Linked DNA regions of Lepisosteus oculatus. The protein of the gene in region 2 purifies or fractionates together with the protein of the main gene of each other region. This does not show direct contact. Links are inferred from orthologs where the notes say so. Each region holds a gene or a part of one and is shown on either strand. Other genes may lie near its edges.

The links.
Region 1: the proteins of mtf2 (region 2) and jarid2a purify together in Homo sapiens (affinity purification with mass spectrometry; 3 studies listed by BioGRID and IntAct, with this or other methods). This does not show direct contact. The link is inferred for Lepisosteus oculatus from reciprocal best matches to the Homo sapiens genes MTF2 and JARID2.

Annotation. Positions count from the first base shown.
Region 1 is NC_090705.1:16,310,900-16,327,582, forward strand, and holds the start of jarid2a (protein Jumonji), read left to right. Parts: upstream 1-7,541; 5' UTR 7,542-8,065; coding exon 8,066-8,110; intron 8,111-16,683.
Region 2 is NC_090704.1:1,844,635-1,861,317, reverse strand, and holds the start of mtf2 (metal-response element-binding transcription factor 2), read right to left. Parts: upstream 11,441-16,683; 5' UTR 11,127-11,440; coding exon 11,122-11,126; intron 9,640-11,121; coding exon 9,441-9,639; intron 9,248-9,440; coding exon 9,166-9,247; exon of another isoform or gene 9,106-9,165; intron 8,491-9,105; exon of another isoform or gene 8,312-8,490; coding exon of another isoform or gene 8,299-8,311; intron 7,573-8,298; coding exon 7,477-7,572; intron 7,386-7,476; coding exon 7,285-7,385; intron 6,757-7,284; coding exon 6,608-6,756; intron 6,089-6,607; coding exon 5,993-6,088; intron 5,903-5,992; coding exon 5,834-5,902; intron 5,288-5,833; exon of another isoform or gene 4,945-5,287; coding exon 4,821-4,944; exon of another isoform or gene 4,417-4,820; coding exon 4,349-4,416; exon of another isoform or gene 4,252-4,348; coding exon 4,081-4,251; exon of another isoform or gene 3,530-4,080; intron 3,522-3,529; coding exon 3,419-3,521; intron 3,296-3,418; coding exon 3,237-3,295; intron 3,137-3,236; coding exon 3,035-3,136; intron 2,639-3,034; coding exon 2,275-2,638; 3' UTR 1-2,274. Other genes in the region: dipk1aa (divergent protein kinase domain 1A), read left to right, coding at 13,768-13,986, 14,110-14,193. UniProt on the Homo sapiens protein: Polycomb group (PcG) protein that specifically binds histone H3 trimethylated at 'Lys-36' (H3K36me3) and recruits the PRC2 complex, thus enhancing PRC2 H3K27me3 methylation activity.

The DNA.
Region 1 (16,683 bases), on a different chromosome or scaffold from region 2:
TTAGGTCTTAATCAAATGCTAATGAATGAGTTCCCATAAAGCCTTCAGGACTTTGACCCTCAGGGTTTAAGAGTTGTCAACTCTTTCTTTCACGGCAGGATACATTTTTAAAGTAAGATCAAGTGAAATAAGAAACAATGGGAGTACCAAATCCCTCAAGACTGGTGTACGTTGCACAGTGTAAAATGAGAAGGGTACAGAGAGCTCCCACCCACAGTCCTTGGACTCTACGTGCTGGGGTATGGTGTTGTGGAGCAGCAGGTCTGGCACTGTGGGCTGTGTGGATCAAAATTTGGACGTGTGCCTGTAGTGATTCGAATCTGGAGACTGACTGCACAAGCTACATAACATTAACATAAAAACACCACCCCAGGCTCCATTGTCAAGCAAGCCATTCAAAAAACACCTGTGTTGTGCCTTACTGCTCACAGCATAATCAGATTCTAGGGGATTATATGGAGAACAGTAGAACTTGCTCCTCTTCCTCACTGAAAGGACACGGGCACCCAAATGGTTCAACCAGAAAAGGTGGTCACCTTTGAGCTTTGTAATCGTGGGTTCAAGCCCACAGTTGACTGAGGATGGAGTGAGGGTGATCAGCCAGGAATCTCTCTGTGACACAGAGCCTTGCGGTCTTTCCCAGCACTAACAGGCCTGCGTGCTATTGGTGAAGGACACGCTGCTCCTCCAATCAGCACTGATTCTCCGATACAGGGTGGTGCTACATGTGATGTGTCAAACGATCATTGGCTTAAAGGTGAATGGGGCAGATGATTCTGTTTACACTTCCAAATTGTCCCCTGTGTGCAGTTGCAGCTGTGAGACTTGAAAACGCAAGTGGCTGACAGTCTCAGATCAGAAGGGAATTACAAAAACTAATTGGCAATTCTAAATTTAAAGGACACTGAGAGAAGACAGGGATGAATGTAGATTTTGGATTTCAAAAACGTTTATAATCCTGGTATTGGCTACAGGACTGAAGCACACTATGAGAAGGATGCCACAACCCTCTGTAAAGAAAAATGCAAAAAATATGATGAGGAACTGTCTTACTCAGAGTGTAGGCAAATCCCTGATTGATATATGAAGATGTTGGACTTGAGTGAAATGTCCCTAGATGACACAGCAGCCATTACCCTCATTTGAAACCAAACAAGGATAAATAAAAGTATCTGATAGGAAAAAGACGTTTTTCTTATCGTTGATAAACACAAATGCACTTGGAATTACCCCTATCTCGTCTCCAGGAATTCTTCCAATTCAAAATTGTGCTTTATTTCTAAGAAGAAAAAACAACATTTTCTGAGCAAGACTTAGCCATTCCTTTCTGTGAAAAAGACTCATACACCGGAAGAAAGGAAGTGTGGGAGTTTGGCTAAAGTCTGGTAAAAAGGTTAAAATTAATATCTTGCTGTTCCTTATTTGGCTAGATGTTTTGGTGAACAGGCATAAATGTCTGCTTTTAAGAAAATATTGTTAGAAACAGTAATATCCATTATCGTAAAATAAATAACACAGCGTTCATTGCCATGTGTAATGAACAAACTCCCTGCTAATCTCAATGAAGCCTAACAGCAGATAATATAGGTTCTCTACTAAGAGTTATCATGTTTTTAAGTTTTAAGATTTTGTAATGTATATATTACTTTGAATTTGTAATATATAGTGATCCACAGTGAAACTGCAATAGTCTAGGTTATTAATCAATACCTCAACGGGCACATCCAGACATCTGTTTTCTAATCACTTTTTCCAGTTCGGGGTCAGGGGGGAGCTGGAGCCTGTCTCAGCAAGAAACAGGCACAAGGCAGGGTACACCCTGAATGGGATGGCACTTTATTGCAGGGCAAACACAGACATGCACACACTCAAACCTAGGGCCAACTTTCCCACCAGCCAATTAGCCTATCTGTATGTTTTTGGAATGTGGAAGAGAACCACAACACCCAGAGGAAGCCCACCTGAACATGAACACAAAAAACCCCAAACAGACAGCAGTTCAGGTGTAGAATTGAACCAAGGGCCTCAGTGCTACAAGGCTGCAAAGGTAACCAAAGCATCGCTGGGCACATGAATAATATTATTTACATTTTAAATAGTGAGAAGAATTGTTCAGTGTTTGGCTAAAACATCCTGATAAGTTTTGGAATCCATCTAAGTAGGATGCCAGGACCAGAGGTGACAAAACAGCCCTAGAGTGTAACAGATTTCTGTTCTTTCCTGGTCATGACATTCTTTTTCAACATGAGCTTCACTTTTCCCTCCTAATTAGAACTCTGGTACAACTGTCCAGATATGTAGTTTGCGATTTATCCAACCGCATAATTTGGTATCGTTTGTCTTGGGAGTGAGTTAGTTGCTTCTACATATTGATAGAATTCTGTTGCAGAACCCCCGGTCATAAGGAGTCTTGGAGGCGTGGTAGCCTGATAAAGACTGTTCCCTAGGTTTTGCCCTTGGAGCCAACAGCACATTTTGGTAAAACTTAACTTACAACAGCTTCCTTTTGGGTCTGCTAATGAGACTTTCACTTCTGTGTTCAGCCTCCCTTAATACCTAGTGCCAATCATGGCGAATTCAGGAAGCTTCCATGAAATTTAAATTTCCACAAATCTCCTTAGTCTTTGTGAAACTACCAACAGACTGCAAACCACATAAAAGGAATAAATTTACAAAATGTATTGTCTAGGTATTTCAAGGCATGAATAAAAATGAACATTGTGAATGCTGAAATATAGTACTGTAATTATTTAATTTTAGTAATGGTTCCTGAGACCCTGTGTTGGAGGAGGGGAATTGTTTTCATATTTTTCCATGTCATACTCAGGAATGAGGGAAACTTCTGGAACACACTCTCATTTAAGTTTGAAAGCTATGTTTGTAAATGTTTTATTTGTTAAAATAAAAAAAGCAATAAATTAAAATGCAACATAAGCTTAAATTAGAGTTTGCTTTTTTTGTTATTAGAACAACATACAGAGACATTTCCTGCTCATACTGAACTATTAAACTACTATTTGTGTTAATATATATGTTGCTATCAGTACTAAAGACAATAACATCAATTTTCTTTCATTGCTGAAGTATTTAAAAGATGAAGTATGTGTGACAGTCACGGCTTCAAACTTGCTAATCATTTGTGTTCCAAGTTTTTCACCTTCCATTATAAGTAGATAAAAAAGCATTTAGTCTTAAAGCATTCATAATTAAATAAAAAATGTATGTCCAGATAATTGTTTTGTTACATTGTAATGTTATTTAGTGTGTTATACCCATTTACAGGTTGTCAATCGTTCTCCTACAGAAAGTGAAGTGTACAGCTCTACTGTTAGGCTATTTTGCTTTCTCCAAGTGAATTAAGATTAGTTTAGATTTCTTACTGAAGAAACATCTCATTGCTACTAGCTTCCCAGCACCCCCCCTTGTTAATGATCATGAATAAAAACAGAAAATTCAGTCCACCTTTGTGTACAAGTGGTGTCTTGGCATCGGCCTTTTCTTTAAATTCACAGGCATGTTGCGCTGTCAGGCACTGAGAATAATGCAAACTGAATGTTTGCCAAACTGAAAAAAGCAATTCCTAAAAACATTACGGCATGAAATGAAAAACAAAGCTGATGTAGAGAAAACCCACACTGTGACCTATGCCGTGAACTTGAGAGGAGGATGGTGGGCAAAAGGAAAAGAACTGGACACTGAAGTGCAATTAGAATCAAATGTGTCGGGCTGTCCAGTGTTGTTAATCAGCTTTGCAGTACCTGATTCTCTCTGTTTCAATTAAGAGAACTGAATTAAGAGATCCAATAGTTTTCTTTTATCGAAGCTCTTCTCCTGTGTGATACCCATTGGTGTGATATGTCTGACAAGAAAACAATTTAAATAGGCCTGTATAGCGGAATGGTACACCCTTTACGCCTTTCAGCAAAGCACACAAAACAAGTACAAGACACAAAGTAGAAGCTTTACCATTCATTGAGGAACACCTCAACAGCTGTATCACCCTGAAACTCACAACTCACAAGTGGCAACAGAGTGAGGCCCTAAGCAGGGGAGAACCTGGTCAGTACCTGGATGGGAGACCTCCTGGCAAAAAGGTTGCTGCTGGAAATTGTGTTAGTGGGGCCAGTAGGGGGTGCTCACCCTGCAGCCTGTGTAGGTCATCATGTTTCAGTATAGTAATGGGGACACTATACTGTAGAAAAGGCACCATCCTTCATATGAGACTTAAAAGAGAGGTCCTGACTCTCTGTGGTCATTAAACATCCCAGGATGTCTTTTGAAAAGAGTAAGGGTATTACCCCAGTGTCCTGGCCAAATTTCCGCCTGGCCTTTACCAATAATGGCCTCCTAATAATCCCCATCTATGAACTGGCGTCATAACTCTTTTCTCCTCCCCACTGATAGCTGTCCAGAAAAGCACTATATAAGTGTAAAGAATTATTATTAACCCATCAACATACACTATCATCTGCATCCTAGGGGGCACCACCTGTAATATATTAGATAAGGGGTCTCAAACTCAGTTCCTGGAGGGGCCTGTGTCTTCTGGTGTCTGGTCCATCTAAGCTCCCCATTCCAAGTTACACTGACACCCCGGAACTGGGCGCTAATGCCAGTGATTAAGCACAGGTGTAATAATAATAGGATTGCAAGAGAAGTAGCAGTTTTTAATTTTATCAACTCATTTTAAAGGCATCATTTCTATAGTTTTAAAGGTCTCTTTACTACCACTCCATCCCCATTACTGATAATGATATGCACTGTTTTGGCAGGGTTGCCAACCTGCAAGGTATTGTAGCCAACAGTTTCACCAAATAAAGGATACATATTCTTTAAAGAATTGTAGGTTTTCACTTGAGTTTCTAGTACTGAGTGTAACACCAGTTTGCCCCCAAATCAAAAAAGCATAAAGTGTTGTCATAGCTGTAGATGTGCAGAAGCAAATATCCAACTTCAGATCATATCCTACTTCAAAATATGGATTTTAGGACCTAATATTTTGGAGAGAAGGCAGCTCCAAACTCATGCAGCTTCCTGATGCTGATGCTCAGTTCTGCTCCATGTCTGCAGCTCTGCATGAGGAGTTCTGACTGACTTGTCCCCGTGGCCAGGCTGCACCCACTCCGCTAAGCAGAGTTACATCAAAAAAGAAAGCTGGAATCACTCTGGTAGGCACTTTAAGCTAAGGGGTGTTATCCAAAACTACAATGATAACACGTATGTGTAAAGAGACAGTCGCAAATCGGTCTTGATTACACTGATTGATTGGATCAACAGCAACATCCTGCTGGTGCAGTCAGGCTAGATGTATTCGGACTGAGCACACGGGTCATGTACACCAAGCACAGACCATCATTGCTCATCTTCAATACCAGGGGTCTCCTCCTAGCCCTGGCCTTGGAAAGACCCTTAAGATCCAGAAGGAAGAGTGGGTAACCACTAAAACACAGGTTTTGTATCATTTGGAAGAACTGAATTATGATCATTTAAGCAAGTGCTTTGTCAAATTTACTTATTTACAAATCACTGACAACACGATTCTGAATACCCTTCAGTTCTCTGTTGTAACTCTTCCCTTAATTGAGTGGCTTGCTTGCTTAATTGATCAATATCTTACTCTTGCACCTAATTGTTAAAAAAAGGAGTAATTTGTGGGTGATGCTTACGACTTACTAGAAAAAGGACTGGTTTGGGGTTGTAGACCCCAAAATGAATGTGAATACGTTGATCTCCAGAACTCCCACAGTAAAGGCATGAACTCTGGTCCCAACAACATTTTGTATATTGTTATTATTATGATTTTGATATTATATATATATTTTTTAAATTATTGCCTTGTCAACGTGACACACCTTTGTAATTGTTACCTCGGACATAGACAGATCAAACTGGGGTAAAGTTATTAGTGGTGTTCCACAGGAATCTGTACTAGGACCACTGTTCTTCTTGATTTTTTATTAGTAGCCTCGATTTTGATCTAGAATGAACAAATGTCTTCCCTTCATTTTAGTATGGAAGCAATAACGAAGTTAAACAGAATGTTAGAAGTTACATTGTAGAATTTAAATCAGTAGATGTTGTTCTAAAATTGAGCAATCTAGTAAGACCTCATTTAAAAATTTAGGTCACTAACTTTAAAAAAGATCTCGCTGCTCTGCAATCAGTCCAGAGAACAGCAACCAGATACAACTGTCTTGAAGGACAGTTCTACACTGACAAACTTAAGGAACAGACCCCTTTTGTCCTGAACAGAGGAGACTATGAGGGGACCTTATTCAAGTAATCAGTATCCTCAAGGGCTCAACTTAGTGAACTTCTTCAGAATGAACGGTGAAACATGAACCTGTGGACACAGGGAGGTACATTTAAAACTGAGAACAGTAGGTACTTCTTTCCACAAAGGGCAGTGGGGGTGTGGAACAACCCATTCACATTGTCGAAGCCAGTGCCCCGGATTCTCTGATGGGAATGAGATCCTTGGATCAGTTACAGCTACTAGCAACCAAACAAACTAGATAATGTCTCCTCGCGTTTGTAACTGGTCTTACTCTGTAATTGAGTTTTGCTGTAATACTCAACGCCCTTTCTTGAATAATTGTCTAGGTCTGTGGAACTCGTTCTCTCCAGTGACAGACAGAGAAAAATTACATTACTGTCTGCTGCTGTGCATTGCATGGTTTAATTGTATCATGTGCTGGGTATACTTGTGATTAGAATCTTCATGAGGGAGGGCGTACAGTATGTCAAGCACTCTACTCTTTTAACCCACGAACGGCTGCCGACGTTCCTCCTGGTCCTTGTGATTCATGTCGGACTTGGAATTAAATGATTAAATTGAGATAACGAGTTTGAAAGTCTTGGATCGATCATACAGTATTCTGCTCGTAAACGATTTAAGGGGAAACGCGATCATTTAATTGTATTTTTTTTTATTTTTAACCTTATCTTTGTTGGATTACCTGCAGACTTCCCATCTGGGTTCTGAGGTGGGCTGGAGTTATGCACCATTGATACAATCTTTTTAAGCAAGTCTAAAGGTTCATGAATCCACACTTTAAAAAAAAGATAGGTCAGACAGCCGTACTAACGAAAATAAAGCCTAACTTACAACGCCGCTGTTCACGGTTTACAAGAGTTCCCTAAAACGAAAAGAGAATACAGTGAGGTGTGTAACTAAATCAGGTTAATAACATTCCTCTCGAGTTTATTAAGTAAACAGAACACAGGGGGCGCTACTTTCATTACTGAGAGGTCTACGTCTGGCTTTAACTTCATACACCAAGCCGTAAAAATGCATCTTGGCCACCAATAACCATTATATCATGCTTGTAAGGTACAGCAACGGCAGTGTGTTTGTATATGTATACATGTGTGCTTTTAAATATGCAGATTCCTCCCCTCTGTACATACACAGAGCCCAGAGCCGGTGGCAGGGAAAATTGTGCTTCGAAGAACGAAGTCGGTTCATGATTTGTACCCGGTCCCTAATGAGCGAAGCCTTTTAAAGTTACCGCTGCGCTGCGCTGGGCTGCGATAGGCTGAGGCCGAGGAAGAAAGAGCATTGCTCAGTGCAGATTAGCAGTGCTGCTGGAGAGTTCAGTCATCTCGTCTGCGAGCTCCAGCCGAAACGTGACTGCGAACCTTTTATTTATTTTCTTATCTTTAAATCCCCTCCCCGAACAAGATGTAGCTTCCAGCAGTACGCAAACGCCCACTAGAATACGCTTCTTAATTTCGCGACACTCGGGGAGAGCGGATGACGTCCTATTTTTTTTGCTTACGAATGGAAGATATCGTGAATTATTATGAGTACGTTATATCGGAGCCCCCTTTTTCTGTGATTGTTTTTCCTGCGTCGTGGATTTCTAACTTGGGATTTACTATCAAATCGAGGCGAGTCCCTGCTCCGTGAAGGCAACGACAAGGAATAAATACGTACTCCCCAGATCTGCGTACCGGGGATTTAAATAGTCTTTGGCGTGTTCTTCAAGAAAAAGCATAAACGAGGAAAGGGAAAAATTCATGTGGCAATTCTCTGTTTAGCAAACACGACTTGGATCGCAGAATGAGCAAGGAACGACCCAAGAGGAATATTATTCAAAAGAAATATGTAAGTTCATTTTTTTTCTGCTGCTGTGCGAGGCAGTGTGGGGTTTTAAATTGACCTTAACAAGTTTCCATGTCCTCTCCGCTTGTTGTGATTAAAATGCATTGAGAACTTTGATCTCGGGCCGATTGGATTGAGTCCGCTGGCGTTTTGCACGTTTTTAGTTATGTAGAAACGTTCCCAGCCCTGGTTTCTAGGTAAAATGTTTTTATTTGCAAAGGGGGAGTTCATTTCGGGTTCTCCGGTGGCTGGGTCTACCGTGCAAATAAGGCAGCCTCGTAGGGGGATCACATTACAGCGTTGTATTTGTTTAGATGATTTTAATAATCAGGCGCGGCGTTACCTACAATAACATTTATTTTCCCAGCAATTGCCATCTGGAATGGCTTTGTTTGTTCCTCATATTCTCGTAATTTTGAGCCGTGCACAGACAGCCATAGCTGTAGGTTGCCTCTGGCTCTTTCCGGGTTTAGCATTGCCCGATGCCATTATCAATTTGTTAATAAACTATCATGTTGTCATCGATTTACTGTGGTTTCACAGATGTGCTCAAGGGTGGGAGCATTACCGGAGAGTTGTAGGTGATTTTTTTAGTTGCGATTAGCGAGGACCACGTTTGCAGAAGTCAAGGCCAGTAGACTGGAGCACGCACACACGGGCAGGGGCTGTTTGATCTTTAATTTCATCGCCGAGACTGGGGGAAAAAAAGGCCCGTTTTGCGTTTTGCCTTTAAATTCCCTGGCTGCCGTGTGGCAACACTGCAAACTTCGCAGCCGTGAATCCCCATGTTTCTGTTCCCGGCGATTTGCAAACCGGTTTTATGGTTGTGGAAATGCACTGTGCGAGTTGTTTTTGTTTCGTTTTGCACGTTTTCTCCGTGTGACCTCTGAGTGGTTGTGAGCAGTCGCCGCAGCCGGGGCTGGCTGCCACGATTATTTCAGGGTTTCTTGGTAAATTTCGTGAAGCACGGAGGGGATTTGGGTTTAATCGTTTTAAGAGATCCGCGTTAAAAACACGCCGCGATGTAACAGTAGCTTTGATTAAGGCGCAAAGGTGACATACTGGGGATCGTTTTAAGAAGGCAGTAATTCCAGTCGCATTGCAGAGGTTCATGTTGTGCGAGAGAACAGCAACCATTTTATCTTTGCAAGGAAGAATAAAAACTACGGATAATATAAACCTTGGGCTCAATCACTAGGAGTGTCGGAAGCAAATCCTTGGCACGACGTCCTGTAGTTATATTTTTTTCGGACGAAGTAGAAGGTTGGGGGCGAGTTAATGCTAAAAAATTAATAACAAAGGGGTTTCTCGTGTCGAGTTGCTAGGCACATTTCTGTAACCTTATTTAGCATTTTAACCCCTAACTTTCTGGACTTAAGTCAGGATTCTGTGTGGGTTTGGGGGTACTATATTCTGAAAATACTTCACTTTTATTCCCCCCTATTTATGTTTTCTTATAGGGCCACTTCTTTTGTCAGTAGTATAAATGTAACCATCATGAGGTACTGCAGGAAAGTAGCCAAGGTTTTTGGAGTTCACTGAAGTCACACGTTCCGTTCATTACTTAGCTGTGGCCCGAGAGCGTTTCTTTATTTTTTTTTCTTGAGCCACGACGCTAACTCTTCAGGGCAGACAGCATGGCCTCTCGGTTTTTTTTCTGCTTTTCAGACGTCTGTACAGACTACGTTTAAAGCAACAGGTCAATCCTATCAATTTCGCTGGGTCTGGGGACAGATCACATTTTCCGGTGTCGCGTTGGCGTTTGCGTGGCTTTTTTTGTTGCAAATGTTGGCATATGGAGAACTACATATTCCTCACTAGTAATATTGAGGAGGTATGATCATGGTTTATTGGCAATCGGGAGAGAGTTGTTTGTGGCTCAGCGTTTCAAGCAAATTTCCTTGTAGTATGGCATTTGTAGTCGTGTGCTGTCCATTTAAAAACTTCTCCCCAAAATAAACACAAATTTAATAAACCTCTACGGGCTACAAGCATGAGGAAATCATTTGTCTGAGGCTTTTAATACTTATGAATGAAGTCATGGTTTGGCTCGTGCGGGCATTTTTTTATTGCAACGATAATCACATACAGCATCAAGCAATAAAATCTCATTTTCCATATTTTTAAGTATTGTAGGAACATGAGTTTTGCTAAAATGTGAACTTACTCGACGTCTGAGTTGTAAAGCTGTAACAGGTGATTTCTTTAAGCACAAAAGACGAGTGACAATCGTTCATCGTTTTCTTTGTGAAGCGTAATGAGGTCTGTATTTTATTGGAAGGTATACATCGTCCCGAAGTTTTTCAGATTGCATCTGTTATGATACAGGCTAAAATAGGATTGGAGTTGTGATGACTGAGGAACAGCTCACGTTTTAACTACAATGTAGAAGCGAATTTGTCTGTCCCCTCTGTGCTGTCCCTTCGGAGGGGGGATGGGGGATGTGTTTGGGTCTAAAGTCTTGGAAAGACGTGCTCACGCACCTTGGTTAGACAGTATGAGTTTGCATAATAGGTTTGTGAAAAATAAACCAGAACGGCACTCTGACCAAAGAGGTATTTTGCACTACGAATAAAAGAGCACTACCTAAGTTAAAATCAGTTTTTCAGAAATCCTCCTTGTGGTTGTAGGTAGTGTTGCTGGAGTGGAAAACTCACTGCTCGAGTTGGAGGCTGGTGAGGTGATTATCAGATCGCCAGTTACACGCTTGCGCACACGGTGCACGTACGCGTACGAGTCCTGTGCCTCGTCCCTGTCCCTTGGATCGATTCTTGCACTGTATTTACAAGACACTGGCGGTGTGCTCTTCAGGCTGTTACACAGTCTGATCGTTCTTTGGTTTTATGCCAAAATGTTTTGAACAATCAGAAGCCACTTAAAGCCTGGAGATATAAAGGGGCTAACTGATGTTTTGAACGACTCGAACTTTCTCCGATATGGATGAAATACTTGTGGTGCTTTTAATTGGTAAGCTTGATTGGTGCGGTGATTTAGATAATAGCTCTAGATGTTGAGATCTGGGTTAGAGACATGGAGTGTTTTTTAGATGTTCCTTTACAGCAATTAAATAAATGGAAATTCCACAGCAGTAAGATTTGATCCTGACTTTTGATAACTGAATATGGTAACTTATCAATATGATATAATACGTGCTTAATTCCCAGCCCTGTCAAGTTGAGATTGCAATTTTGTGACCTTCCTCTTTTGTACACGGAAATGGTATCAGTCAAGCAGAGAACCGAGTACCAGTAGCCTGTTAAACCTATCAGAACTTACTATTGTTTAAATATTGTATTTTTTGCGTGGTGATGTCTGGGGTTGGTGCAGCAAGTGAGATATGAAGGGTCTGAATGTACACCTGTTTTAGCAAGCTAGTTAACCCATTGCTTTCCCACAGGATTTACTCTAAAATAATTTCTCCAGTTCCTTGTGATGGAGTCAGCCTGCAAAAATACAGTGTGATGCCTTATAAATGTGAGCCACTTTTGTTCTCCACTTCAAAAACCCAACAGAGGGCGTTTCGGACACCTGGGTTAGTGACGGGATCGACCTGTGTCGATATGAGTCCGGACCTGGGTGACATGACGGCAGACATCAGGTGTACCAGATACATCTCCTGAAGGGTTTTTCCTTCCCCGCTGTTGTTCTGTTCAGCATCCCTGTGAAGTTTTTTTTTTGTAGTTCTTTGGTGAGGAAGTTGCTGAATGTGTTTATTCTTTAGAAAATGGCGTGCAAAGGGGTTTGAAGTGTTTTCTTATTAAATCGGTGGGCGCCTTCTGTTGCAATGCATGTGTGAAGATCACGTTAAGGATCCAAGATGAATCCCTTATCCAATTTGTGTATCCCAGGCAGGGCAAACCCATGCCACTGTATCTAGGAGCCGTTGTGTGCACATCATCTGACTTGTTTTAATCATAAGACCAGTCATCTTGTATAATGTTTAGTCACCAAGGTCTGCAAGAAGAGTGGTTGCAGTAGGGATGAGTTGTGTAACAGTGCATCACAAACTTTCTAATAAGCCTTTTAAAACCGACACATCTACAGTTCTTGTATTTCAGTGCTGACCGACTGACCATCAGTAAGGATTTGGTTTTAAAGAGGTTAAAATGTGCTTCTGTATTCTTTTGACTGCCTCCCTTTAAAATTCACACCAGAACATTTGGGGACTTTTGGCAGCAGTAATGCAGTCCCGGAGAGCTGGTGTTCTGTAACTCAGCACGGCGGCTGTGTGTCTCGTGATAGTTAGAAACATGCTTGTACAGAAGGAAAAAAACCTAAAAAAATCTTGTTTCTTAAAAAAAAAAAATCTGTCTTGGAATTTGGTAAGGGGCGGAGCTTGTAAACAGCAGGTACGCGTTTGCCGTGGCCTGCTGTGTGGGTTAGGAGCACGGTTTGCACCTGGGAAAGCCACTGTGCACAATGAGCTTTAACTGGGGGGCACGTTTCCCCTTTCCCCCCTGCCTCACTCTGGCTGCAGCCTGCATGATTTGTGCCTCTTGTTGACCTTGACCCCAGTCCCCCCTCAGTGAAGGAAACCCCACCTCAGGCACAAAGGGTGTCCATCTGCGGGTGACATGTCAAACCTGGCGCATTGCATGCTGGGGCACCAGAATGTCACTTCGCAATTGGCCGAAAGTGCCTTATTTATAGAAATAGGACTTCAGGTTGAACTAACTCCCCTTTTGGTTGGAGCTTTCTTTGCAAAATTGGGATGTCCATGTCCTGAGAAGAGATGAACAACCATGTGCCTCCCAGCCCTGTTCTCGGTGCTTGCCTGTGTTTAGTCATCGTGTGCACCTATTCTGTTTTACTTCACAGCCATGCGCGTGTTTATCCTTCTTGTGGTTTCTCACACGGGAGTTCTTGTTTAAAACTGTATTGTGTGTTTGGCGGGGTGAGAATATTACCCACTTCTCTGCAAGATGCTTTGGCTGCTGTCAAGGGAAATCTCGTTGAATCTTACCAAGCAAAAGCAAAAAAAAAAAACCGAAGACATCCCAAGAGTCAGAGCTTAGACCAGGGGCTCCTGCCCTACTAATTTAACCTTTCCTTAATTAGCGTAAGACAATTATACATGCTTGGCTTAAGTATTTCCCCTCGAACAAGTTACCCTCCCCCACCCCCCCGCCACCCCCGGCACGAACCAGGGATGCTGCTGTTAAAATTCATCACTGAGGAACCCGAAAGCAAACACAGAAATATAATTACTGCTCCCTGATGGATAGACTTAAATATAACCTAGACAAAGCTATATCACTCCAGTATGTGGTAAAGAAGCCTGAACTTGCTTGAAGTGGTTTATGATTAATGGTTTCTTCCAATACACCAAACTTGTCAGCTTTTCAACAGCAGATCCTTGGTTTCAGTGTTTTTCTGAATTAAGAAGGGGAGGGAGGGGGAAGGGGGGGGGTGGTTGTGTTGCAGCAATTTTTATAAATTGTCATTTAGTTTAACAGAATGTGACAATAAGACCAGAGTTAACATGGATAATATTGCCATTTTGTGCAGAACAGGCTCCTATTTAGGCCCAGCTGGGGCTCAGCTCTAATTCATTGCTGTACGCTGGGATAAGCACAGCTGCTCTGGGGCCTTTACAAATGTAAAGAAGCTGTCAGTGTTTGTTTCATCAGGCGCACAACTGATGAGGCCAAGTTGAAGAATCCATTGCACTGTGTGGAGCACAAAGAGGAAACAAAACCGAGTGTGGCCGAGGCCTGTGAAGGATGACCGAGTCCTGCAGCTTCAAAATTGAAATGCGAGTCTGCGGTTGACCCCCGAGGTTGCCATGTTTTGTATCCAGACTCGCCTCGGCTTCATTCAACCTTATGTTTTAGTGGAAAACGGTCTTTAAAATTTACGTGTTTGACATGCTAGAATTCTGTGCTTAATTCTCGGGAGGCTGCAGTTTAAGTTGGAGAGTTTAATGGTCTCCAACAGGGGGGAGGGGCAGATGGGGCTTAGGTATGCCGAGGCTTGTATTTTTTTACCTTTTCTTGAAGGGAGAAAAAGGAATTTTACCTTTATAGTGACTAAACTACAGATTTTCTGTGGACATTAATCAAACATGGCAGGAAGGTGCGCTCTCTATGAGTGGGCCTACATAAGTAATTTTAAAGGAACGCTTTTAAGTTTAAGGCATGGCCAAAACTTGAAGTTAGTGTGTCTTCATCCAATTTGCAAGTGGTTCTTGGGGGGGAAAGTTAAATACTTCACGTCACTTACTGGACAAATCGCTGCAGATGTATACATTTGGCACATGTCTTAGCTTCTGTAGAAAAAATTTCTTCTAATCAGCCAGACATATGTATTTGTTTTGTATGTTTATTTATTCAGGCTTGAAAATATAACCATTTCTCCATAGTCTTAAATGGGTATGGAGTTGGAAGCTGTTTCACCCATTTATCTTATGAAGGGGCTGCTAATTTTTATACCTTAATGTTTTTTTTTACATAAAACCCTTGCGGTCTTTGTTTTTCAGGCTTTAAGCTTCACTGACCCTTTTGTTATCCTTCCTGAAGGAAAATAAATTTAGTGAGAGCTGTTCACTGGGGGCAGTTTTCTACTGTTGTTTCATGTAATAAGGAGAGGCTACTTAAATGGATGAAGTATTTTAAATACTGCATGTTTACTAGAGGGCAGACCAGACTTTTGCGAAATTATTTCAACTTTCCAGGAGTGTTGCACACAGTACGTCCGAACCTCCCTGTGCTTGACAGCAATGCAGTGAAGCCTGAAAAAAAAAAGGTTGAGAGGCATTAGATTGAAACCAAGTTGGCCCAAAGCTCTCGGCCAGCGATGGGGTCTTCTGTATTCCTTATGTGCTCCGCGCAGAGCCTGGTTGAGTTTTTGAGCTGGCGGTGATGGACATTGGGGTGAGATCAATAAAATCTAAACTCCTTACCTGAGAGCGTGGAGTTTTCTTGGACTGTGCAGAAAAGCAGTGGTTTTGTTTCATTTAGTCAGAAACAGCCTCTCCTTGTGTTTGCCAGCAGTTCACTTAGTTCTGTGCATCGTTACTGGGGCTCGCTGAGTGCAATTAAAGCTAATCACCAGCAGTCAGATCTGCCTTAACTATTTGCTGTTCCTGTGTAGCTCTTCCGCAGCAAGATGATAAAAGTTTACATAGCAGAGTCTGAAGGAAAGCATGTGTCAATACCACAGCTGTCTCCAGTTTGCAGCTTAAACCTGGCTCTCTTTCTTAATTACTTTCTGATGTGGGGGTGCATAGAAACAGAATGATTGTGTGCCATGATTAGGAATCGCTCCCTTTCAAAAGAACGTTTTCCACAGTCTGAACTGTTTTTGTACATTAGGCGGCAAATCAAAATTGTTCTGCTTTTGTCACATGGGGAAATCTGGGTTATTTCTGTTGACGCAGTAGGAGCTGTTGAGAAGCACAACCAAGGGCAATTCTGCCCCAGCGCAACACTGACTGACCTGGATTCTCAAGCCATGGCAGAAATAAAAATTCAAGTGTTGTGTAGCTTTTATCCTTTTCTGTTGTCTTTGCATTGTCTACCACAAATGAAGAAATCTAGATGTAACTGCAATGAGTTACTGCACTTCTTTTATAGCCTGTGTGATGACATTGTTTTCAGTGTTGATTTCAAATAAAGAGGCACAACGTCCTCATTCCCAGTTAAACTACAGGGAGGCACAGTGAAATCCTCTTACAGTTGCAGCTGGGTTAAGCCACTGGTAGGAAATTCTTCTGTCGGTATGTTCCAAATCGTTTAAAAATTGATTTTGGTTTTCTGTAAGACTGCTAGTGGCAGATTGATGGTGTATGAAAGAATTGAGCACTGAATTTGGAGTTTCAGAGACAGTTGTATTAGAAAGTGAATATTTTGAATCTACTATGGAGCCTTTTTGTGCTGCCTCCATCGAGGGGCAGAGAGGGGCTGACCTCTTAAAGAAGATGAGCATGTGAATAGCCTTGTTTTGGCCCAGCTGACTTTTTTTCATCAGTGGATGTTCCTCTTTCCAAAGTGCACGCATTGATCTTCACCTACCAGATGCAAACGGGACATCTAAAAGCAGTGGCTAGCATTGAACTTTCTCCCAGTGACCAAAATCACGTCAGGTAGCTGAAATTCTCTCATAAGTGATGGAATTTCCATACATGTTAGCTACCCCCACCACACTCCTTTCAGGAGATCCCAGAGTGCTTTTCATTTAGGAGAACAAATCCTGTACCCACCTCTGACGTGCATCCCCACGTGGGTGGCACACAGCAGCCGTTCTGTGCCTGAGGAGTGAGAAATTGATTCAACCTAAAGAGGAGCTTGATGGAGGCCACATTCGTTCATGCTCTTCCAAACAGATCTTTTAACAGCCATGTTGTCAGGAGCTTGTACAGCAGTGAGTCCCCTCTCATGTCACTGAGGCATTGGTTTGGAAATTATGGTTCCTAGGGAAGAGCGCCACCTACTGGTCGACCAGCACCACTAACAGCAACCTGGTCTCTTATTTTGTCTCAAGCAGCACATTTGTGCTTGGACTCTGTGCTTAAAACGTTCTTTAGTGGCCTGTGGAAAGACAGCTGATGTCACACAGCAGGAAGTTGTTACTGTGCT
Region 2 (16,683 bases):
GCTTCTTTACATGTAAATATATATAAAAATCCTTATTTTTTCTTAAAAAGGAAGAGGTATCAATGTCAAGGTACAACACTGCTGCCTCAAGTGGATAATGTCCTCGTCACAACCCTGTTCATTCAGTAAAACATTACATACCAACAAACCTACCGAAACAGCAGAGCAACACTGACCATTATATACAGCAAGGGAAACTCGAGAACATTAAGAAAACTACACAGTGGACATCAAGCAGAAGAAATGTTGCACATGTTAACTTGGGGTTTACAGGATTGAACAGTGAAAAGTTCTATGACCATTATAACAAAGAACTATGAAATAAAGCTTCATAGATATTTTAAGGCTGGGGTACACTTTTGCCAGAAAACCTAGGCGTGTCATTTACAAGCTGGTGAATTTAGCTGGAGATGTATGTGAATCCAGCATTCACTACCATATCAATAACGTGTGCACTACACTTTTTTTTTAAAAAGAAAACCCTCGCCTGATTTATACTGTCAGACACCTCAGGGCTTCACCATGAAAATTAATTCTGACAAAAAAAAAACTTACCACTGCATATATAAAAACATTTAAAAAAATTTAATTCCACAGTAACTTTACTGATGACATCCTGAGAGTAAAGGTCAAACTGAAAGAGCACAAACTCGATCTTAACCTGTGAAAGACTGATACTAAGTGCACATTTTTTAACCCCTTTAGCAATGCGTAGCACCGGTAGGTAAGAGCCTGAGAAAACTGCAAAATATTGCGTCTGTTCCTGAAGAAAAGGTATGGCCAAAGATGTTACATTTTGTAAGCAACCAAATGTTAAAGTTCTTTTAATATTTTCAATTGCATAGGAAGCGGATACTAAAGTACAAAATGCACAAGTATTGAGCTCAACAGAAGGTTCAAACTGATTCTGTAAGGCTGGGTCAACTCTAGATTTCATATTCCATACGCTTCGAGTATGGCTCTGACACGGAGCACAATCAACGCAACCCAAAAGGATACCATGATTCTGGGGGTCTGAAATGTCTCGCTACCAGCTCACTGAAGCGGACGTATTAGTGGAACATCTAAACCACACAGTCCGAATATAACATCTGGAATTCTATTAGAAAATACATAAGATATCCCAAACTGCAGATTCTCGAGAAGTATTAGGTGTTCTCTAGAACCAATTTAAACACTCCGTCAAAACAACGGAAACAAAGCGTTAGCTACATCAAAAATGCCTATTTTTCTGATTTTTTTAACAATGAAAAACATGATTTATGAGCTAGCTACTCATACATGACAAATTAATTGAACTTGTGCTACAACTTTAGTACTTACAAAAGAGTTGTCTGCAAATGAAATAGTTACGACATGGATTTATAATACTATTTATGCTCCAGATCATTCCCTACAAATGATTCACAATCTTAATATTTTGCATCTCAACAATGCTGTAACTGCTATTATTCTTGAATTATTTAGAATTGTACAAGTCTGAGAAACGTACTTGTTTCCCCAGTACAGATGAACAAAGTGAAGAAAAAAACTAGTGAATAACACTGCTAATTGCCAGTTTCAGAAGAATGCTATAAACCTTCAGTACAAACCAATAAATGCCTTGTTTTCAGTTGCCACTGGCAGTGAGTTGAAAGCAACATGAGACTTCCCGTTTGTTTCCATGAGCTCACATGCTGTAAATATGAAAGCACATTCAGATGGAAATAAAACATGTATCCAATTAACAGGCTAAAGGAAATCATAGCTCCTGATGTGCACCCAGGGAGAAAATTAAATCAGAGATTGTGCTCAAAAGTGATTGCTCTCAATTAAAGGCATATTAAAACAAGAAAAAAAAATCTACAGACAGGTATAATAAAATTACATGCAGCAGCATATTCAGCTATAGTTTTATTTTAAGACACTCTATAACCAAGACATTTACACTGTGCAGACGGAGACGATGGCATAGCAAGCTGCAGTCAAATTGCACTGTTCGATCTCAGAGGTAAATGAAAACAAAGCTTGAAACCATCTCATCCCAGATCCAGATTAAATAAGAGTAATTGCACCACGACAGCCACTATTCAAAACACCTACAGGAGCACAATAGGTCTCGATTCAACATGGGCCTGGAATTCACATTTACCCACCTGGTCTGTATAGTTTAATCAATATGCTTCAGCATTAAAAAAAAAAAAGGGAGAATAAAGAAGATCACTGGCATAAATAATTATTTCTCGGCTGCATTATGTGCCTCCAAGGACTAAATGCAGGTGGGAGCAAATAAGCTTATGATGCAGTAACGCCCTCCCATTCCACCAGGTACTGGACTTTCCCATCCAGGGTGACCCGCCGGGCCAGAACCCGGTATTTCTCCCCACAGGCCATTCTCCCTGCAGCGCCAAAGTAATTAGTGATCGAATTCTTCAGGTGACTGAGCTGCATGTCCTGGTCCATGTTGTGGACAATGTCTGTGTTGAGCCCCGGGAACGGACACTGGTCCTTGGACTCCTGCTCCCTGGGGATCTCGGGGTTGGGGGGCTGGAGCGCCCTCCGGGGGGGGCGCTGCGCTCGTCTCCGCCCCCGCCTCAGGGGCGGCAGGGCGATCGGCCACAGCCTGCCCGTGCGGGTCCTCCTGCGCGAGCTGCACAAGCTGGCGGGACAGCAAAAACAGCCCTAAACTTGCTGCCCATCCTCCTCCCCCGTGTGTAAAGTATCCCAGCTGCACCACAGGTGAACCGCTGGTGTGCGAAGAGGAGGGAGATTTCGAACATCGCCCCCCGTGTTGCACCCCAGGGTATGCTGCCAGGGTTCAGAAACAGCAATGCCAATGGTGGAACACAAGAGCAAGTGATAAAAGATGTCTTTCCTGCTTCTTTCGAACCCTGGTCTAGGGCTACTGTATCAAGACAATTTACAGTCACACTAAGATTTTAAAAACCTGATTTTTAAGCACATACTCTAGAAACATCCCATAGTGTTTTCCCCAATTTCTCCCTCTAACTCAAGGTTTTACCAAGGACCCTGCGATGCCCAAAAGTCTCCTTACCTTGACTGCCTTGAAGTACTTGAGGTAGTTTCAGTGGTACTTGTTGCACCAATGGATTCCACGTCTGAGGTACTTGAAGACTGTGCCGATTTGTCAGTCCTGCTGCAAATTATCCAGGCAATAAAAAAGAAATGCAAAAACATAAGGACAATTTGCACGTATAAACCAAAAATGCATAGGAATGCCCCGTGACAAAGCCTACCTTTTAGAAGAAAGAAGGTCCAAGGTGTTGTTCTCCGACACTAAAATTTTTTCATTGCCCTGAAGCAAGGAAAAAAAACACAGTTCAAATAAGGACTTATAAACACAATCAAACTAAGCTGCTTTCATTACAAGCAAACTCCTGTGTGACAAACTTGAAAGCAGGAAAAGCACCACACCCACCTGGGCTGGCAGTGCGGATGACCGTCTGAGTTTTGCAGCCGTTTCAAGCGAGTGTCTGACATGCTTTCTTTTTCCCTTTCTAACGACTCCATTCATCATCTCACTGGAAAGACAGAACGAGAGGTCAGCTGACTTGATTGCCTGACCCTCCCAGAGTTCCACTTTCACTGATGCAGTCCTCACAGCAGAGCCACGACCCGGCTGACTTTTCACAGAAAGGAGAAAGCCAGTACTTCACAAATCACTGAAGAACATCTCAGGGACACCACCCTCCACAAAAGTTCCGGAGGAACCTGTCAATTTCACAATGACAAATCAAACTGTTTAACCACTGCGGGTCACAAAACAGAGTCACCTGCTCTTTGAGAACCTTCGCTTAGTGGTATGAATATCAGTAATACTTACATAGCCTCACTTTTCCTCATTTGCTTAGCACGTTTTAATTTTTAGGATCTTAGTTGTGAATCATTCATAAACATTCAAAAGTTGTCAGCACTTGTAGTTATGCTTATGGTTCGGGGGAAAAAGGCACGACAGGATCACGCAATGGTGATTACGCAGGCATGAGACCATTTAAATGAGTTCCTCTACCTTTAAGGCTACCCACTTCGACCTCCGTTTTAAACACGCATGTAACAGATGTATAACAAGGGGTCTCTCACCTGGTGTCGGGGATAGGCTTTGTGGACTTCCTGCCTTTAATTTTGATCTCATGGGAAGCCCGCTCAGGCTCTCGGTCAGCCCTTGAGTCAGTGTTCTGAGGAGCAGGTGGAAAGCGGATTCTCAGCCCAAACAAGTGTTTCTTTTTCTTTATTTCCTTTCCAGACATAAACCTTAAAATATCACAGTCACCAGTATAAGAGCACCATTCAGCCCACAGTTGCAATGACAAAACATATGAACACTTGTATTTACAACAATGCAACTTACATAGTCTTGTTTTTGTTCAGAGCTTCAAGAATACTTTCATATCGTTCAGATTTTGGCGTGTCACCAAGCTGCAAAAATTAAGGAAATTGTTCAGACTGTGTGCAGTTCATGGTTAATTACTTTTAACAAAATCTTTCAAAATGTTACACGTCAGGATATTTATAAATCTGCAAATGTACACTCAGTACTTTTAATTCATACTCACTAATATTAAATTTTAATGACACTAATAGAGGATGTTTGTTTAAAAACGACGCTATGGTCATCTGGTACATTAAAAAAGTAAACAAAACACATACAATACACTAAAAGAGCATTATAAACATATTGCATATATAAACATATACACAACAATAGTGTTATGAAAACATGCAAGAGATCTTAAGACCAAATACACGCCTAAAGCACAATATTCTATATTTTTGTAAATTGTTGGTTAAGTGGAAAAAAAATGCATTAAAAATAATCCTACATCTCCCAGCTGTAGTCTGTCCCAGTTTTCATTAATATACGCCATCAGTTCCAGCTCCGAATCAAAATACTTCTTCTTGTGAATAACACTCAGGTTGTACAGACTCAGGTGTGCTACATCTACCCTGTGGGGAGAGAGCAGGTCAACATGAAAATTAAGAACAGTGCTATACCCTTCAATGGAAAACAAGAGCTGTACCAGGATTGTCTCTATATATAATTGTCTTCTTCAGGTGCGTCTTTTTAGCATGGATTAAACCTATACTTGAATCTTTTTCTTGGCAATTTTTAAACTAGGCAGCCTAGCAATTGTTGGCCTGATCCCCGTATTTGAAAACTTTCAAAATCATCCAGTATACTGTAGGACCAGTTGAAACGAAAGTAGGTTGGCTAAATCAACAACCAAAGAAAGTCTACATTTGAAACGTTGCTGTACTCGTTATAAAGCTCACAATAAGTCAAACCATTTTAAGAAAAGAAGGCCCACACTGCTCCTGATCAAAAACCGTTTGCCCAATTAATTCCGAAATAATTGCAAACCTTAAAAGTATACATTCTACGATCAACATGATGAATGTGCAAGAAATTTTGTTTTTGTCATCAATGTGGCCTGTAACCCTAACTCTCATGAACTCCAAAATGGTGTAATTTTCTCAAGTCTATTAATACCATCTGACACAATGCTGTTTCTGTGTGTACCAAGATGGGTGCATGGCCACCATTTTGATCTTGCACTCAAACTCTCTCTTGCTTTGAGATATCCAACACAGTACGTCTTAAAGAAATATTTTAAATGAGCAACTATGTGAAATGTTCGAGTGCCGTATCGGGAGGCCTTTTAATAAATTATCAGACTTGGGGTTTTTGAGACCAGAATATATACATTTGTATGCGACTGGGATGAGATGACCTACTCTGAAAAACTATGAATAAAGTTTGGATACAACCACGCACACTAGTCCGTTCGATTACTGTAACAGCCATTTCATGTCATAACTGAAAATTGCAACTTACCACCTCAAAGGCAGACGTTTGAGGTACTCTGGTCCGGAATTGCAAACTGAACATATGAACACATAGAACCTAGAATAAAAAAGAATTAAAAATTATTTTAAGTAATGCCAGCAACACTTTGTAAATGTGTTTTTATGAAAGAAACAGATGCCATCTTACCTATCCCCATAAAGCATTGGCTTCTGGAAACACTGAATGCAAGCCTCATGAAACCACTGCTTACATTTACTGCACTGCAGCATCTTCAGATACCAGCTACAGAGAATGGAAATGTTCCAGTTAATTCAGCCTGGCATTAATCTGTTCAGGTTAGATACATAAGGAGATGAAAAGCACATCTTCAGAGTAATCTGCTCTTGGACAACTTTAACCCCTCAAGCAAGGGTTTAAACAAAAAAAAAAGCAACAATTTCCCCATTTCCTCGTGTCTGTCTTAAGCTAGTCGGTATGTGCAATAATAAATCAATACAGACTTGGTAAAGAAAAACACAATAGAGATCATTAAACCAGATGCTTTTCAGAATACTAGAAACCTGTTTTAGTGGGTTTATAAACAGGAAAAGAAGGCCCCATGCAGACAATTCTTCAGAAAGCAGCAGATTTTGATCTTCCTAAAACATCTGAGGTTTAGGTTAAAAATACAACAGGCCAGAAGAGAGCATTTAACTCTCATCCTATGTGATGTTAAGACTTAAAAGGTGTGAACCCACAGCTACACCTGTAGACACGCACTGAACACTGGGCGTAGCAGAGTTAAACATGCTGGGCACTCACTCTCCAGGGCCTCCACAGTAGCAGTAACATTGCTGGATATTTGTTTTATGGCCTTCGTCCCAGACAAGATCCTCTAACGTATATGGTAATGACTGTTTCATGACTTGCAGGGCTTTTGCATTCGGTCCTTTCTTTAGAGCACCTCCTCTCTGTATTAAAAATAAGAAAAAAAAAGTCATCAACACGACGCTAAGCTGGTAATTACAAAAGGAAAAGGACCGTCAAAAACTTTTTCTAAAATCGTACACAGATGTTCCAACGCAGACGTACATTTTCTATGGGACAAATAAAGGTTTATTAGTAAAGAAACACAACATTTCAGCTGTGGAGCTTTCTTCTGGTGTCACCACAGCCAAGACGTTGTTTCTTTTCTTCTCTTATCAGCATGGAATAAATCTTTACTTATTCCTTTGCAGCCTACACATGATGACACCGCTACCTACATTTTCTACATCTATGAGAACTTAGCTAATTCACTAGGACATGTTTAGCACTTGCTTGGGTGATGAACCAAATTTCATTAAACAACTTTCATTTAACTCATCGCCTTGGTCCAGATACGGCCCTTCAATCTATGACTGTACGAAGCCACCAGAAGCACAACCGCAGCTTTTCAGTAACACAGTAAGAGCAAATGCAATAATAACACGGAAGCAAAAATTCTAAAAGTATCGAACCTTTGTCGTAGTTGCAAACACACACTGCCGGCAAAGCCACTTGTCATCTGAAGCAATAACACTGCAGTCGATATTTGGTGCATGGCACAGCTGGTGATAACCTGCAACACACATGAAAAGGGCAACACACATGAAAACACATTCACTTTTCTCTTTTACTCATGGGAGAATATTGCTGCAGTCAAGGGTTACCTTGCCCACACTTATCACAGATGACAATCTCGTTTGGAGCTTCCGAGTTTTCTTCCTGACATATTGTACAGACCATCTCCCCTCCACTGCTGGCTCCTAAAAAACATGCAAGACAAAACATTGGGTATTTTTTTATGATCCTTTATATTTCTTTCACCTAAACGTAGAAAGAAACAAAACCAGTGGACTGACTACAAATAAGGACGCACAACCCAGAGCCGATTCCATGTCCAGCACTTCACTGCTGTGAGCCACAACAAATCCATGAAAAGCCACCAAACACGATGCTCTAACTACCTAAATGCAGGTCTGCTTTTGTCAGGGGAGAATCCCAACACGGCTTTAAGCACAAAACTTTAAGCAACATGAAGCACAGACAAGAAAAGCAAAATGAATGCGTTCAGAAACAAGATGCAGGCCACCAACTTGCTTGCAATTTAAAATGGGTTACGCATCTTAATTAAAAATAAAAATTCTTAATCAGACTAAGCATAAAAAACACAAACCAGCAAAGCAATGCAATCAGAACAAGGGTACAATCACGTAGGACTAGTGTTCTGGTGTACAAGGAGGTCTTGCTTAACTCTAAACCAAAGTGTGCTCATAGCCTACATGTGGGAAAGATCCACAGGCTGATGTGTGCATTTTTCACTGAAAAAAAAATTGCTTCTGAATATGACAGGTCAGCTGAATTTCAGCACCACTTTCACAGCAAGACTGGCTTTCCAATGCACAAAAGACATCTAATGATGTAAACCACAGAAAGGAAACGTAAAAAGATACATATTACATACATGAACACTGACACAGACTTAAAAATACCTTCCCTAATCATGCCACCGATGCCTTTCAGAGCTTACTGTTTGTGTAAGCCCAGAGACCCTGTAGTCTGTCAACTGCTCAGAGACAAAGTAAACATAACTTGACCTGAGCAATACAGGGAGAAAATTAATACAGAGAGAAGAGCGTCAAAAGAAATCTCAGCATAGAAAAGGAAAACGAGCTGAGTAAAATAAGTCTATCTAAAAAACGGAGGTTCTGTAGGTAGATCGTCCTGGGGTATTATCTGTGGAGAAAATAGAGAAGTATAAAGCAAAACTTAAAAGAGGAAAAGATGGTGAGCTTCCTAACACAGAAAAGCAGTGCTGACAACACGAAGAAGCACTCTGTTACTCTGACGTAATAATATTGAACCAATTAATAAACTACAGATGAAAACCAAGTCTACAGTGCAGTCCGCTTATATTTCAGTTCAAAGTTTAATTACGAGAGAAAAGTATGCAAAACCTTATCATATTTACACTCTTCTTTAAACCTCGAATTGAAAAGAATAAATCACGCTTAAAAACAGCCACCCCCCTGGGTTTCGAAGCCAAGGAATTTGGTTTGTGAGCTTTACCAAAATTAAAGTTCCATCTTCTCTTGTGCAGGACATTCCCATAAAGAAGCTTTAAAAACGCTGTCATTTACTGTTCATGGTGTTGAATTTTCCCATGAGTGTTTGCAGATGAAAGTTCACCGACCATGAGAACACTATGAGCTAACTCATTTGTCCCAAATGAGAAAATATGTTCCGTCTTGATCAGGGAACCTGGCTACTAGTTTTACGTTCATGATAACGATAAATACCGTGCTGTCCAATTCAGTGGACTCTTCGGATCTTTTAAGTTGGAAAAGGGGGAAACTTGCCAGTTTGTATGTCCTTCCAGAGAACCCAGGATTTCGAGCGGTCTTCGAAGACGACAAAGCAGCGGTGTTTGTGTTTGTTTATCTGGGGGGGGGAAATATCGACATGAGCATCTCACATAACCCTACAGTACTTTCCAGCATACTTCAAGAACACGAACGCATTTACTCAAAGCAAAAATCCCAAATTAGAAAAATCTGGATATTTTCAAGCACCCTTAAGAAGTGACCACTGATAGGCTTGCAGAGATCAGTTTGTTAAAATATCTATAGATTACCTTGGTGATAGTTCCGAGATAAAACAAGCCATCGGACCACCTGGCTAGGACATCTTGTCCCTCCTCAAATTTGCTTGCAAGCTTTTTTGTTCGCTGCCCATCCTTAAAAGACAGTTTAGCCCCGGTCACAGGCGTCTTATGGTTTCTGTTGGAATGTGCTTTTTTGTGGAGAGACAAATTCTCTACTTCCGTTGCGTCTCTGTCACAGAAGGGGAAGGAAAAATGTGTTGAGATTTAGGTCATTAGTTTTGTGGAGGTGCAAACAAAAAAAGCAAACACTGAGGTGTCAGGAATAAATGTCTCAAAACACTCGCAAGCAAAAATTACTTTTTAGTGTTTGTTTTGACCACCCAAACAAAAAGACCATCCATAAAACAGATAGGTTACTCGCACTCATTTTATAGCATCTTCCCCAGTAAGAACTACATTACTGACCAATAGCAATCCACTATTCACCAATGCTCTTTTATAATTTGTTAAAATGAGTAGATCACTTTAGAATCACAGAAAGCACATCTTGGAACTGTTGAATGTAACAAATGCCATGCCTGACACCAAGATCCCAGCGAGACACGATCTGTCAGAACACAACTCTCACCAGTTCCCTTCCTGCATGTGTGGACAAATTATATTTCACTAAGCAGCAAGAATTTGCATTCACTGGATCAACTGTGAAATTAAAACGTTTTAAATCACAAGCAGTGGCTCCAGGCGATTTAACTATTTTCTTCTACATATCAAAATTACAAATCTATCCTCTTGATCTGGAATTTCTAAACTTCTGAATTTTGCCTTTGCTTTCTCATGAAGCAAGAATAATTTCTATGTTCAAAGGATAGGTGAAATATTTAAAAGACCATCTTACTACTTACACGAGGGAAAAAAATATCCCAAGATGATGTAGGAATACTTCAGAAAGGAGTAAAAATATATATATTTCTATCCCACAGCCCCAATGACCCCATTGATGATCACACGAACTCCCTTTCCAATGAATTAACCATACCAGGCTACGCTATAATTTCTCATGACCATCTGTAATGTGGTCAGTGCTGAGCCTTCCTGTCCGGCGATATGCCACGGAGAACCTAACATTTCATTCGGCTTTATTATGTGGTGGACGTGCAGTACGGTGACCTCGATGCAAGAAAAGCTTAACGGCTGATTATTACACTCTCATTAGCCATCTTACATTCTGCATATATTTATACACGTGTATCGTAATTCTGTAATTTAAATAACTGGTTAAACTATATGCATTTGTGGAGAAATGCATCACGAACATCGTTAACACTTCGCTTTCCACGAGACTTCGTTTCCAACATGCGGCACGTTCAGCAGTCCCGACTTGCCGTTAATCAGATCTGGTCTTTATTGATACGTTTACACACGTACCGCATTTGCGAGGTGCTTTTACTCTTTTGTACGTGGGGGGGACACAACCCTTTTGTTGTGTATGCGAACAATGAAACGTCTATCTCCGGAGTTCTTCCACAACGCTTCGGCTTCACAAATGCAGTTAAATGTCCGCAAAGCGACAGCAGAGCAAAACCGTTGAACTCCGAAAAGCTACGTCAAATGCATCATTTTGTTTTAAATAAAAACAAGCAGCGCACTCCGCTGATAAAACGCAACCCACCCCCCTCCCCGTACTCCCAATAAAACATGAAACATATTTCACCTCATTCGGTCACTTCACCCGGTCAAAACGTTTCATACAGTAAAATATTCGGCCTTTGCGAAACTCCCGGTTCTCTCGTCCAAATAAAAAAAAAACTGCCTTCTACAACCGTGGAACCGCAGTCCCCTCCTTTTTGTTCAATGGTTTCCGGACTCGGGGAGAGAAAAAAAAAATGTTAAAAGATTACAAACGGTTCCCTCTCCCCCAACACGTTCGCCATTTTGGTTTCCCGCTGAGACTGGGGTGCATTCTGGGAAGCGCCCCGTGAGCAACAACATTCTGCGCCGCGTGCGGACGGCCGTGGTCTCGGGCCCGGCGGAGCGAAGGAGGGGGGGAGGGAGAGCGCGAGGGCCCTCTGCCTGCGCACACGCGGATGCGCGCGGCGGAGCTGCTCTGCTGCAGGCGGCCCCCTGGCGCCGCTGGTCTGGTCTGGTCTGGTCTGGGCCGGACCTGGGGCCCGACTCCGGCCTCTGCCGTGGGCGTGGGCGTGGGGGCCAAAGAGGAGGCGACCCGTGCCGCTCAGAGACGGCGTTGATCGCGTTTCTAACGGGCGCCGGTAGAGGGAACGGCGAGTTCTCTGCTACCGGTGCGCCCGACGTCGTGGTTGTAGCCCAGATTAAAAGCAGCCAGACGAACTGAATACCAGCTATACCGCATTAATAACACAGCGCGCCATTTTAAAATGTTTATATGCCTGATTCAGGTAAGGCTTTTAAAATTTAAAATTTAAAAAAAAGGCAACTTTATGACTTGTTGCAGACTAATCTGGGGGCGTAGTTTGCACTACCTTTACCGTTAAAACACTGAAGGCGACCAGTGATGTCGGTTTGGCAGGACTGGCCGCAATTAGCGGCTCGGACAGCCAGGGACTCTCCGGCTCAGCGTGCGGGGAAGGGTTGTATCGCCAGCCGACTGTCCTTAGCTGGTGTGGCAGAACTGCCCCAGTAGAGAGAGAGAGAGAGAGCGCGCCCCCTGCGGTCTTCTGTGCACTTGCAGGGGAGATGCGCCTCTCGTCCAGCAGGGGGCAGTGCTGCTGCCACATTCCAAAAATAGTGTGTGTTTCAGATTGATTGAATAGGAATTAGCCCGTCATTACTGTTTTGAGGAGAGCGATAGTACTATTGGTAATGAAAGCTAAAAGTAGAAATACGAGTTAGTGTTCTAACTGTAAGTTTTTGATTATTGCATGCTTCGGGGTGAGGGTTAATTAATTTAATGGTGCTGCGATACCAACAGTATCTTCTAATTACCACCTGAGGGCGCTGCTGTCAAAGCTTCAACTGCTCTCCTCTTGACTCCACCCCACTTGACTGAACACTGAATCTGGGGAGCTGCGTCAGCAGGCAAGTCAACTTGAACTCTGTGCTGCAAAGCAGGAGGAAAAGAAGTCCGATTTATCAGATGCTGAATTTTCTCCCCCGGAAATGAATCTCCAGCCGAAACGTTGTGTGTCCTCGTTATATTTCTATTCAAGCTGCTCCACCGCTCTGTCTTTCCAACGTGAAAGCACAGCACGTACATTCTGCTCTTTTCTGACGTTTCTTTTTTTTTGCAAAAGGGGGAGATTAAGATTAAGATGAAGCGCTCTGTGGTGCATTCATTTGCTTGGCTCAGCAGGAACAGGTATCCAGGGAAACATGAGATATTTTACACACGAGTTATCGCCAGCTGGGTTTATCACCTGAGAAAGGTGCTCTGACAGGTTTCACGCCCTGGCTGAACCCTCAGCGGTACGCCTGTGGCCAGCTCTCAGCAGCTGAGGTGCTGTGCTATTCCAGGGTGCTCCCGATGGCCCCCGAACTGCATCTCGCCTCCTCTGAGGGCCCAGCCGGTTTTACAGCTCGCAAGGAAAAGGGTCGCCGTGTCCAGTTGAGCGATCAATGGGCTCTATCAGGTGATCAAGTGAAGACGAGCCACAGGAACCTCGGGGCCCTCCAGGAATGAGCTGTGAGGAAGAGCTCCGGCGCGTCAGTGCTCTTACTCGCCAAGATCTCAGGACTTCTCCTCCGGGCCGAGATTTGTTTCAGAATCCCAGACTGGCCCAGCAGCACGTCGCCTAGATAATGAGCCGGGAGTCCTTGGGCATGACGGATATCCAGTTGTACCTGTCCCAAACCACCCAGGACCCCTGCTAACACCCTATTACAAGGAGGAGATATGGCCTACTCTGATCTGGATTGAACACCACAGGGAGGCCTCCTCTGGTCACACGTGTCTCTGTATGTGTGGAAAGGGGCATTTCCAGTGTGATAAAAATATCCTGTCTTCGCAGTTATGAGTGAAGTACGAGGGCTCTGCCCGTCGTTTCACAAAATCTTCATTTAGTTTCCTCTCGGTACACAACTGCGCTGCTGATCCGTATTTTTCTCATTGAAACGCGCGTGTTTTCCCCTCGTCGCTCCCAAACTCGCATGTAAAGCACACAGTTAACTTCTCGCTTGACCAACAACAACAACAACAACAACAAAAAAAAAACGTGTTAGCTACGGGTTGTTTTATTTTGGAAGCGCTGCTGTTCACGCCACGTCAAGCGCCCAGACTCCCCGCCCCCTACACACACACACTTGGAAGAAAAATGTTAAAAAGACACAATTTGTAACAACGCAGTAGCGACCCGCCCGCCCGTGTGAACCGGGCGCGTAACTGATGCGCGCAGCTAAAGCCATTTTGTGTCGGCGAAATCCCTTCCCTGCTCCTGCGCCTTTTATGCAGCACGCACGGAAGGCAGGGGTATCCAGCGGTGGACTCAGCCCACAGCAGCTGCAGCGCTCCAGGAGAGGAGCAGAGGAGAAGGTGCCGTATCTGTCGGCGGCCCGGGGCGCGTTTGCGAGGAGCTGTCCCACGGGAAACGGGAATGACTACTGGGTAACAGGACGGCACATGATACACTGCATTTCCGCAGCTCGCTGGTCACAGTAGCGGGGACGGACGGGCGGGGGGAGGCTCCATCATGCCGTCTTCTGGTCTAACTGGGGGGTCTTTCCGCAGGTTGATGTGGTGAGATGTGCTGTTTCTGCCATGGCGAGGGGGCTGTTTTCATGGGCCTGGCTGAAAAAGCCGTACTACATTCAGGTAGGCCACCCGGGGGGGGGCACTTGGCTAATTAACCTGCACGGTTTGCGGGGCAGGTCGCCGAGGAGAGCGGTGCGAGTCTGTGCGTCCGGTAGGGCTGACCGAGAGACACCGGCTGCCGTACGGCGAAGCCGCTGCGCCGAGCGGTGGCCTTAAACTTTTAAGCTCTTTACGTTCAAGCTAACGGATCCCTTCTGGTTGTCTTCTTGGCCTTTTACAAGTTGTTCGCCCTTTTTCCCTCCCTCCCCCACCAGACGTGGTAACGGTTCGTTTTACGCCGGAGGCTCGGCTTTCATGGGGTGTTACAAAGTGCTACACGCATGCGGAGGGCTCCTGAAAACAGCCGTCGTTTTCTCTTTGTTTTCTCTTCTCCTTTGAAGCCGGCGGGGAGGTCGGGGTAAGGCTGCTCGGGCTGGTTTGCTCAAGCGGGTCCCGGGAGTCTCGGCAGTATTACGGTCCGGCGCAGTCCTGGCAGGAGTGTCGCCGGTTGCTGTGGCAACAGCTCCACGGCCCCCCCAACACCCGCCTGTCATTCGCGAATGACAATAAATAGGAAATAAAGAATAAAGCGTGCGAAGCTGTGTCGGTTTAAAAGGCTAAATAGCATGCGTACAGTACATTTTTTGGTGATGCTACAGTGGTCGTCAGCCGGGGGACGGTCCCCGGAGACCCCACACACACACCTGACAGCCCGTACAGGGGGTCACGCCAGCACCTCCAACGATGAAGCCTTGCGTCTTTCCGTCTTAAAGATTTGGGGCTGCGGATAGTGTTCCGTGTTTTCATTTCGTCCTTAAGATGGGGGGGGGGCGGTCGCAGAGACCGGCCTCCGCACACGAGTGTCGGGAAGACGAGAGAGCTTCGAGGAACCCCTGGTCTGATAGTGTATGAATGGTCAATCTGCAGTTGACATGAGGGGATCGTCTGAAGTGGGGGCACACTGGAGCACGGGTGAGCGCTGCACCCTCCCAGTTCCCGGGGTGCAGTCTGCGTGGAGTTCGCATGTGCTCCCAGGGTCTGGTCTCCTCCCGCACTCCGGGCGTGGTAGCATAAGGGTGGGGTAGTTGGCTGCTGGCCTGTGGGTGTGATCTGCCGTGCTCTCGTTGGGCAGGATAGACGCTGGGTTCCCCACAGCCCTGCGCTGGATGAAGAAGTTAGAACGTACTGGACGCATGAATCGTTCACAACATCTATAGGATCACGGCGGTAGCGTTTGTGCTAAGCCTAACCTAAGATAAGCTCATTGCTCTTGATATTTGCAGATGCATTATTAACCTTTATCAATAAAGAACCTTTATTTTTGATAAACTGGCGATTTAATAGAATATTCATTAAACCTTCTTATATTCAATTTAGCCGGAAGCGTGACCGGATCTTACAGTAGATGGTTGTTAGTGCAGTGTAGCACATGCAATTTGTAAAGTGGCTTGTCAACAGAAACAGGGAAATGCTGTGTCCACTTCTTCGTCAAGGGTGTTGTAATCTAAAACCACATGGAACCAAAGAGCAGGGCTCCTCAGCGTTGTCAGCCTTTATAAACAGGGCAGTGCAAAACAGCCGCCACTTAATTGAGAAATAAAGTCAAAGTTAAAAGTAATTTTCGTATTTTATGAAGTGTACATTTGTGAAAATGAAAGTGTTTTTGCCGTTTAAACAGAACGAATGAATACATTATAAGTATTAAACTGGCAAGATAACTAGCCAGACGTGTATTTGAATACAGTGTCTTTCATGCGAGGAGTGTTCTTAAGTATAGAATGCGTTCCATGCTCAGAAAAATAATATAAGGAGTAATTTGAATATGTCCTTCCTTATTACTCTTGTAACTGAAATCTACTTTTAGTATAATTGTTTTTTTAAATACGCGTCTGTTCCTTATTTGGAGTTAAATGTGGAAATTATGGACTTTCACCACAGCCAAAGTGTTTTTACAGCTTAAACCTCCACCACAGCACCTCTGAGCTACGGCACTTGCGGGAAACGCTTTATTAAACGTTTATTATGCTAGGTTATTCCAGTGAACGAAAATAGCAGGAAGGGCTTTTGGTTTTGAGAGTTCTGTACAATCGAGAGGTGAAACGGTGCAACAGTGAGCAGAAACCTGCAGTAAAAACCAACGAGGAGCAAGAGGAGCAGGCCTGGCCGCAAGACGGATACCGTGTAACATCAGATCACTTCATTGTGCCATATACAGTTTCTTGCATTAGGAATTTGTCTTTTCGCGTACCCCAGCCTGCTCTCCGTGAGACACGCAGACAGGGAGAGAAGCTGGGGGTTAGAGCGTAGGGTCAGCCATTGTACAGGGCCCCTGGAGCAGCTGGGGTGAAGGGCCTTGCTCAGGGGCCCAGCGGAGTAGGATTCCTCTTTCGGCCGCAGGATTTGAACCGGCAGCCTTCCAGCCACAGGCGCAGACCCCTAGCCACAGTGGTACGGGCAGCTTAGTCAGTGCACTGTGTTGTGCCAGCCTTCAGTGTTGTGAAATGTTTTCAG